Linked DNA regions of Daphnia pulex. The protein of the gene in region 1 purifies or fractionates together with the protein of each later gene. This does not show direct contact. Links are inferred from orthologs where the notes say so. Each region holds a gene or a part of one and is shown in the gene's direction. Other genes may lie near its edges. The genes, in order: gamma-tubulin complex component 2-like and gamma-tubulin complex component 3-like.

Region 1 (4,531 bases):
GATTCTTATAGCGCTAAATCCTTGCAATAACTACTTTCTTATCTTTGATGCCCTGATAAGATATTACGATTACATTCATTTTTCACAGACTGTAGAACTCGTTCTATTTCCCTATTCACCAATCTTTGTGAAAACATAGCACCGGCCTACAAAAAACATGCAACGTATGGACGAGCCACTCTTTAATACTGTAGGCCTATATAGACTTATGCTTCTCATCAATTGACCAGGACTGATAAATTCAACAAGAAACTCGAATTTGCTTTAAATAAATTAGAAATTTTCAGTATATACCTGCTGCAAGCAAGAATGAAATGGATACGGAAATGGATAAGGAATGGCGAGGAAGGGAGACTCGAGCAAAATGCGACGATTCGTTTCAACCTTTTTTCTCGGAACAAACGTATCGAAACCCCCCTGCTGGTGAGCTATGAGTAATGACTATTCGCTGTTTTTACTTTTTAATTTTTTGTTTTTTTATTCCTTCTCTTTTATTTCTTTTTTATTTTATATATTTTTTAGCCAATTTTATTATTTTTTGTCAATAATATTATGCTCCTAACTAGTAATTATAGCCTATAATTAGTCTAATGTTTACAAGCCAAGTTTATTAGACATCATATACGTTAAAAGTTAGAGGTCGGGGAATTCTTTATGTAATAGGCTATAATAAACCGAAAATAATAACGTAATTCCATTCGGAAATAAGAATAAGAACAATTAAAGTACTAGCAGCCCTAGCTACTAATAGAAGACGGTAATACCATACAAATGCATTTCTCGTCCACCCCAACTAAATAATAGGCTACAAGTGAACCAAAACTGAGGTTAGAGAGTATGACAGAAGACTAACGTATATATGCGCTGGTGAAAGATAAAATTGATGACTTTTCTTCTATAGGGGATAATACACCTGACGCTATTGGCCCCGTCCCCATTGTAGAAAGTGCCTCTTCAGCCTATTGGTCCAATGTTATGCTTTCACATAAATTTCAAGAGGAGTCTAGTCTCTATAGTGTGTCAAAGAATAAACCATTTGTCACTTTTCTTTACATTGTCGTTTTCGTTTTGAAGGCAAATACCATTTTACCTCTCTTATTCCGTTCATCGCTCTACATTATTGTAATGTGGGGAAGTATTGTATGCACACTATAATAGTGTATAGTGCATCATTTATGCCATTTACATAAAAGCCGCGCAATTTATTTCTTACATATTTTTTGTTACTTGAATTATACAGGCCTACAGGGTTTTAAATAAAGGAATTAATATTAGACCTATAAGCGCACTCTTTTTATTAAAATAAAATAGACTAATGACTTAGGAAGCAGGAATTACCTAAAATGTTGATGTTTAACAAAGAATTAACATTTTATATTTTTTTTTCATAAAAAATCACTAATTTTAATAAGTAATAAAATAATAGCCCTTCTAACGCCTTGCCGGCCTTGCTAACGCAGCGATAATTGTATCAGTTTCATCCGCCAGGTGTCTGCTTTCTTTTGAATTTGACATTACCGCCAAATGTTAGTTCATGAAATGTCAACAGCACAACAGGAATAGGTTTGACTTGACATGTTGTGACTGACGACTTGACGAGGAAACAAAATTGTAACGTTGAAGATTACTACTTGTTCTTGTTGTCATGAGTGAATTCAAAATTCATCACGCTGTTAGCGAATTGATTGATTCGCTAGGGTAAGTTAACTACTTTGAAATACATAATCTAGGATTGGCCGTTGCCCGATCTTACACTGGAATACTTAATTCGTCCTTCCTACAGGCTCACTGACTTGGTTGCACCTGAAAAATTTGTGAAAAACTTGGTGACTTCTCCATCACAGGTCCAAATAACAAATGCTAGAGAGACTGTGCAAACTTTAGCAGCTTTGAGCTCAAATCCATCTGAGATAGTGAACAAGTATGAAGAACTACGGGACAAAAAGTAGGATTTACACCATTTTTCACAAAGTTTACAATCCTGCTAATGGTCATATTAATATTGAAACTTCAAGTTACGCTGAATTGGATTCTTTTGTCCTGATACTTTCAAAGATGAAAGAGTCTAAGACAATGACCCGCTCAGTCAGGGCTGGTTTGCCAAGAGAATCTGTCAAAACCTATTGCACTAGCACAGATAGCAATCAAGGATCTGGTATTTAAATTTTTTCTATATGTTTGTTCATGAATTTAATTACAGTAGAAGTTTTTTTCTAGGCCCATCAACATCCACTCCAATTGTGGTTGGAGGTGTAAAATTGAAGGAATTGAAGAGCAGGTTACAGACTGCAAGTGAGGGTTCATTAGGTCATAAAGTTACTGAACTAACAGAGAAGAGGGTCACATCTAGTGAAATTATACAAAAGAATCCAAAGTGGTTTCACACTAGACCCTTTCTTTCTTGGGACTTTCCTGTTGCTGGGCTATCAGATTCTCATCTACTTCAAGTTGCTCCTCTTGGAAATGTGCCTGTAGGAGATCAAGAAAGAATACTTTTAGAAGAGCTCCTTTATGTTCTCAGTGGGTTTGATGGCGATTACATACGTGCACTACCCTTAACTGCCAACGCCGACGAAAGAAAATTCGAAATTGATGATAGTAATTATTTTTATTCAATAATTATTTATTGAAAATTGTCAGAATAAAAATAAATTTTGTATTTTGTATTTTTTTTTTTTACAGGTGTCGACGATTCACTAAAAGAAATGATTCGAAGATTCTTCCCAATTTTAGCTTCCTATTCTATAATTGAGCGCTTCTACGAGAGTCGTTCTGGATTCGATTTCGGAATGGTAAATGACGCCTTGGCAGCGGCTATTGGCAACTTGGTTCATGAATATCGAATCTTTGTCTGTCAATTGGAAAGTTTATTGCTTAAGAACGAATTGAGTTTGCAGAAAGCTTGGTAATCTAAAGGTTTTATATCTAAGGTATCTTTAAATCAATCTTTTTTTTATATCTTTTAAGGTATCTTCTTCAGCCCAATGTCACGATATTGCATCAACTGCATCATGTCACGCTGTCATTAATGAGAGCTAAAGCTCAAGGCGGCCAAGTATTATCCGTTCTTCACCAACAGACCATGGAAGCGATGGGAAATGAGAAGCAACAGAAACTTTTGCTCTCACTTACCCGTTCTGCAGCCCAGCCATATTGGGAGATTTTGCAAAAGTGGATTTATCAAGGTTCAGTAGAAGATCCATATTTGGAGTTCATGGTTGAAGATCATCAAGTAGTATCCATGGACAAGCTCTCCCCAACGGCTTACAGTGACGACTACTGGGAGAAGCGTTACACTCTACGACGTGATCGAGTACCCTCATTCCTTCTCCCACTTACTGACCAGATTCTTCGTACCGGAAAATACCTTAATGTGATCAAGCAATGTGGTGTGTCCTAATCTTAAATTTATTCAATATCAAATCATCTTTATGCCTTAATTTTGATAGGAATGAAGGTGAAACCACCAAGGATTGATGACTTAGTGTATACACTTGACGGATCAGGCTACAAAGAAGCCATTGAAAAGGCTTACAGTTATGCGTCTGAGACGTTGTTGCACGTCCTCATGCAAGATTACGACCTTTTAGGTCGGCTCAAGTAATATCAGTTTAACCTCATAATGAATTGCATGTGACAATTTTAGCCGATTACTCTTGACTGTTTTAGTTTTTTACGCATTAGAATATGCATTTAATGCCTTAATGGTTACTATGTCTTGCAGGTCCGTGAAGCATTACTTTTTCCTGAATGCGGGAGATTTTATCTTGCATTTCCTCTCGCTATGCGGAGCGGAATTGGTGAAAAACGTTGATGATGTAATGCCCAGCCGATTAGAATCTTTGCTTGAATTGGCACTTCGCACTTCGACCGCCAACGCTGATCCCTTCAAAGATGATCTGGGACTTGAATTACTTTCCTATGATCTAACTACTCAGATGGTTAAGATTCTTTCGATCGAAACTCACGGAGAACGCGACAATCGCGGTATATAATCCTAGTTCGATACCTTCCCACATTTCAATAAAATAGATACATTTTTTAAAAATATTTAGGGGATGGGAACCACTCAATCGACCATGTACGGTTGACGGGATTGGAAGCTTTCTCTTTCATGTACCGTGTTCGATGGCCTGTTTCACTTGTGTTTACGACTAAAGTTATGGCGTGCTACCAGATGATTTTCCGACATCTTTTCTTGACCAAATATGTTGAAAATCTCTTGGGCCGGTAAGGATTTCCTTCAGCGCAATTAATTTTGTTGAAACTACTGATTTAATGACATTTTTAGAGTTTGGATTTCGCACAAAATTGTTCGCAATTATTCGTTTCCGACTAGCCAGTGGTACAACAACGCATTTGCTTTGCGTCATCGCATGCTCCATTTCATTCAAAATTTATTGTACTACATCACGGTCGAAGTTCTTGAGCCATCATGGCAAATTTTTGTTGAGAAAATCCGAAAAGTGGACAACGTCGATCAAGTATGCACAAATTTTTATTTCCGTTCATTAGACAATTTCTAAATAGA
Region 2 (4,546 bases), on another chromosome or scaffold:
AGAACAACGAACCTAAAGTGAAAGAGAGGGGTTCAATTTGTATCCGAAGAGGAATTACAGCGTCCTGTCCTGGAGGCACTGGTTGGGAGTTTGTCATTGGGGTAAGTCTTGTTAACCATAATTACAACAACACATATACAGCCATTTCACAAAAATGTTGCATTATAATTTTTCTTCAATTTTACAGGGTGGTTGGAGTTTTGTCTGCAATCGGGGGCACGACATTCCATATTAATTTTCGCTAGTTTTAATTTTCATTTAAATTTTCAAAAGAGACCAGCCAATTTTAAAATTTACTTCATAAATTATCTGAATGGTTACTTTAAGCCGACTTCAAGGAATCTCATTGACGTTCATATCTCTCAAAGTTGGCGAACAGAAAGGTGCGCATTCATTGCGTACTTCGAACTTCTCACAGGAAGAAGGCTTACACCCGAAATATGACCATTGTAACCAGACCTTAATACATTAAAAATTCAAAATTAATTACTGACTCAATTTCTGAAATTTCCAATACACTTACCAAGAGAATAGGCAAATACCAGTTTCTGTTGTGAAGACAAGTGAAACATTGACCAAACAGAGGATGACGAGCCACCTTCAGCTTCATTTGAAGGCAACATTAGAGCTATAATACAAACAACTGCCACCACAATGGCAATATAATTTGGTCCAGCATTTTGATAACCTAGAAAATTATGTGCTTAGTAAAATCATTTGGAAAACAACAATTCAATAAATCTCCAACAACCTAATTTTCCAAGGCTATTTGAGGAAGCTTGAATTTGCATAGTTGAGGAGCTTGAGTCACTAGAAGAGGCTGACGGTACATCTGTGGAGAACTGTCTGAAGTTATCCAGACTAGTAGCAGTTGAGTCTGAGATTCCTGTCGATTTTCCTGGTAATAAAATAACTGGGATATCTTTCTTCCCTAACAACTGTCTGCTGTTGTGTTCATTCATTTGAATCCTGAACTTGTCCGTAACATGGTAGCAAGTTGGCAAAATAGAAATGTGTCGTATTACTATATCCATACAACAGTGAGGTTTTATAGAACCCTCAGGATCGCCAATCTGGTACTTGTGTGGAGCATTACACAGTACTATCAAAAGCATGCGAAAAAAGGTTAGGTTATCAGTGCAATTTTCAAGGACTAATACTAAAAGTGGTATCAGTTAACAACGCACCTTTGAAGTTTACAACAAAATCATATGGGTTGTAAACAGTGACCATTTGTTTATGTGAAGACGACTCATCAGCGAAGAAATTGAGCGAACTTGGGAAAACAAACACTGGTAACCGTTTCACCTCCGTCATTCTCACTTTATGTACAAATGACCCACTAAATATGATCTCAAATCTTTATTTTTGTTACGCAGTCTCTCGAGAAATACTCTCTTTTTTGTCCTTGTTGGACGATTCATAAACAAAGAACACGCCATCTAACGATGAGTTTAAAAACCACCAACGGAGTCCAAGAAAGCAGTAGACTCTTTTTTGAATTTTGTTTATAAAAAAAATACGACAACAGGTCAACAGTTTGTTTGACAAAATTCAATTATGGATGAAAATACAATTCCAGCTCTCGTCGAGAAACTCTGCAGATCTTTGAGCAGTGGAAAGTCTTCAGAAACTAGTATTCAAAGAGCAGTTTTTATTTAATGCTAGCTATTATCAAAATAGCTTGATTTTGTTGTGTGTTCAGTTCTGACAGTACTTTTTTTCTGGGTTACTCGTAGGTAAAGAATATGAAACAAAATACAAACTCGCGCTTCAGTTGCTGTCGTCCCAACATTTATCATCCCAAACCCATGAAACAGAGTTTTCCATTGTCCAAAGTATCAAGAAACTTCTGGGTACTAAGGAACGCTATCAAGATGCTAGGAAGTTTGATGAACTTTATGCCCGGCTAACTGCTAGTGTAAGTGACAACCATCAACATAAATTTTATTTAAATATTAATTGTTTACATCTTCTTCAGTCCATCCTTAAAAACAGAAAAGCTGTTTTGGAATTGATGTACTACTTGGCTCTGAATCCTCCTTCAGCAGCTAATGAACCTGTAGTTCGTCATTCTTTCACACTACCATCATTGGCATCATTTACTACTGATGTAGGACTGAGTTTAAAGAAAGAGATCTTGCACATTTAATCAAAATTTTCTTTGTTTTTAGACCACAACAATGGTCAAGACACCTAAGAATACAGAAATTCCTTATTCTCCTCTAATTTCTCTTTCATCAAGCAAGAAAAGTGCACCACAAACAACACTTTATGGTACATACTCTTAGCTTATAACACACATAGTTCAGAAATTAGCAATCTCACTTTTGTTCATTTTACAGGTCATTCAGATGTCTCCAACCAAGTGTTACTTAGAGAAATCCTGTATGCCTTCCAGGGAATACAAGGACAAGTGTTCCAGTGGGATGCAACCCATGAAAATCTTCACCTTAAATCAACTGTAACTATATACAAACAGCTGTTCTACACATTTATTTTTAATTTTTCCCATTTCCTATTAAGGTAAAATTACCAAAAGCTCTGAAGCAGATGGTACTCAGTTTGGTGGAGTTGGGCTGGCTATTCTACAAAGTTCAAAAGTATTGTGAATCCCCAAAAACGGAATCCACATGTGGGTTAGCCGCGAGGGCTTTCGCCGCCGCTTTACAAGAAGAATTGAGTCAGTAAATCTTGAATGGAGCCCTTTATTAAACTATTACAAAAACATTTGTGTTGACGTATTGTTTCAGGTGAGTACTACAGACTGCTAGCAGTTCTTCAATCGCAGATGGAAGTACACACTGCTAGAACAGGTGATAGCGTTGGAGTCGAGACGCAAGGCTTAACATTCCAGAGGCTGCTAGTATGGACGAAAGAACCTAAAGCCAGGATGAAACTTTTGGCCGCTTTGGTGGAAGCGTGCCATGGTCAACGAGGCGGAGCTTTGGCTTCAGTTATTCACTCTTTCGTTTTACAAGGCAACGCCACCTTGAAAACTGTCGTGTTGAAAATTCTCGTCCAAGTGTGTCGTCCGTTATACGAGATGTTGATGCTTTGGACGTTCGAGGGCGAACTCCGCGATCCTTATGGCGAATTCTTCATCGGCGTGAACCTGGCTGTCGATCCCGGCAGTTTATGGAATGACAAGTATTATGAACGATCAATCATGGTGCCTAATTTCTTCACTCAAGAGCAAGGCCATCAAGTGGCCACCACCGGAAAAAGTATTTGCTTCCTGCGCGAGATTTGCCTGGATAAAAGCCCCATACCGGGATTGAACCAGATTCGTCGTACAGCTGAAGAACGTAGCGGTATGAAATGATTTCCTGAGACATCTACTTCATTTTCATTGAAATATTTCCTTTCATTTAGAATCGTTGCTTTCCTTGGATTGGGAGTCCATAGAAGAAGCTTACAGTACTGCATCTCAGTACTTGCTGCAAGTCTTGCTGGACCGCTATCACATCAAACTCCACTTGTGCGCCCTTCGTCAGTATCTGTTACTTGGCCAGGGAGATTTTGTCAATCATCTGATGAAACTTGTCGAGTAAACTCCAATTTTATTTACTTTTTGTCAAAACACTAATCATGGAATTATTATTTTTTAAAGGCCCGAGCTGGACAAGCCTGCCAACACACGAATGAGCCGTTTGTTGGCGTCCATTCTCGACAAGTGCATTCGCTGCACCAACAGCCAGTACGACGATGCGGATGTTTTGAAACGACTTGATGTGCGCATCAGCGAACCGTCGCAAGGTGACAGCGGATGGGATGTCTTTAGTCTCGACTACAAAGTAGACGGACCGCTAGGAACTATTCTCACACCTGAAGTAAAAACTCGTTACGAGACTCTCTTTTACGCCCTTTGGCGTTCGAAGCGCATGGAATGGATCATGTCCAAATTGCGCCATCAACAGCTAACGGAAGGACGGCAGCTGAGGGGCTTATTAGGTTGGAATTCTGATTTGATTTATAAAAAGAAGTTTAACGACTAAAAAGTGTGATTGCAGAGGTTCAAGGAGTCTTGCATCAAGCCCAGTTGCTGCTCTCCGAAATGATTCATTTCGCCCAGGAAATGTCGCATTACCTGTCGTTCGAGGTGGTGGCTTGCGCCTGGGAGCAGCTCAGCGTCGCCTTACGCAATTCAAAAACCATGGATCAACTCTTGACGGCCCACGAACACTTTTTGCAGACGGTGACCAGCCGTGCGCTCCTCGACGAAGAATCAAAGGTAGAAATAGTTAGATTTTATTGGATTCCAATGAATCTATAATTCATTATGTTCCAGGATATACGGGATCATTTGAGGGGCATCCATGAAGCCATGTTGCAATTCAGCCAAATTCAAGAGCGACTTTTCTCAGCCGCCATACTCGAAGTTGAAAAACGACAGGTAAACCAAAATCAACAGGTTGCAGATTTGGGGTTCTAGTTCAACTGTTGAATGTCTTTTGCCTACAGGGGAAATCCAAATCGACCATTGAGTCTTTCCTGCCGAGCATTAAAGCCAAATTGTGTGCCATCAGCGCCTCTTACCAGGTAA

What was found.
Region 2: the proteins of gamma-tubulin complex component 2-like (region 1) and gamma-tubulin complex component 3-like fractionate together in Drosophila melanogaster (co-fractionation; 3 studies listed by BioGRID). This does not show direct contact. The link is inferred for Daphnia pulex from reciprocal best matches to the Drosophila melanogaster genes Grip84 and Grip91.

The regions. Positions count from the first base shown.
Region 1 is NC_060019.1:11,565,943-11,570,473, reverse strand, and holds the start of gamma-tubulin complex component 2-like, read left to right. Parts: upstream 1-1,499; 5' UTR 1,500-1,645; coding exon 1,646-1,698; intron 1,699-1,783; coding exon 1,784-1,945; intron 1,946-2,015; coding exon 2,016-2,155; intron 2,156-2,217; coding exon 2,218-2,598; intron 2,599-2,682; coding exon 2,683-2,905; intron 2,906-2,967; coding exon 2,968-3,389; intron 3,390-3,449; coding exon 3,450-3,600; intron 3,601-3,724; coding exon 3,725-3,987; intron 3,988-4,055; coding exon 4,056-4,230; intron 4,231-4,291; coding exon 4,292-4,484; intron 4,485-4,531.
Region 2 is NC_060018.1:811,012-815,557, forward strand, and holds the start of gamma-tubulin complex component 3-like, read left to right. Parts: upstream 1-1,481; 5' UTR 1,482-1,560; coding exon 1,561-1,636; intron 1,637-1,739; coding exon 1,740-2,113; intron 2,114-2,174; coding exon 2,175-2,277; intron 2,278-2,345; coding exon 2,346-2,464; intron 2,465-2,526; coding exon 2,527-2,683; intron 2,684-2,753; coding exon 2,754-3,314; intron 3,315-3,375; coding exon 3,376-3,550; intron 3,551-3,613; coding exon 3,614-3,954; intron 3,955-4,013; coding exon 4,014-4,234; intron 4,235-4,291; coding exon 4,292-4,396; intron 4,397-4,464; coding exon 4,465-4,542; intron 4,543-4,546. Other genes in the region: tectonin beta-propeller repeat-containing protein-like, read left to right, coding at 1-101, 188-235; motile sperm domain-containing protein 1-like, read right to left, coding at 428-459, 524-688, 752-1,102, 1,188-1,317.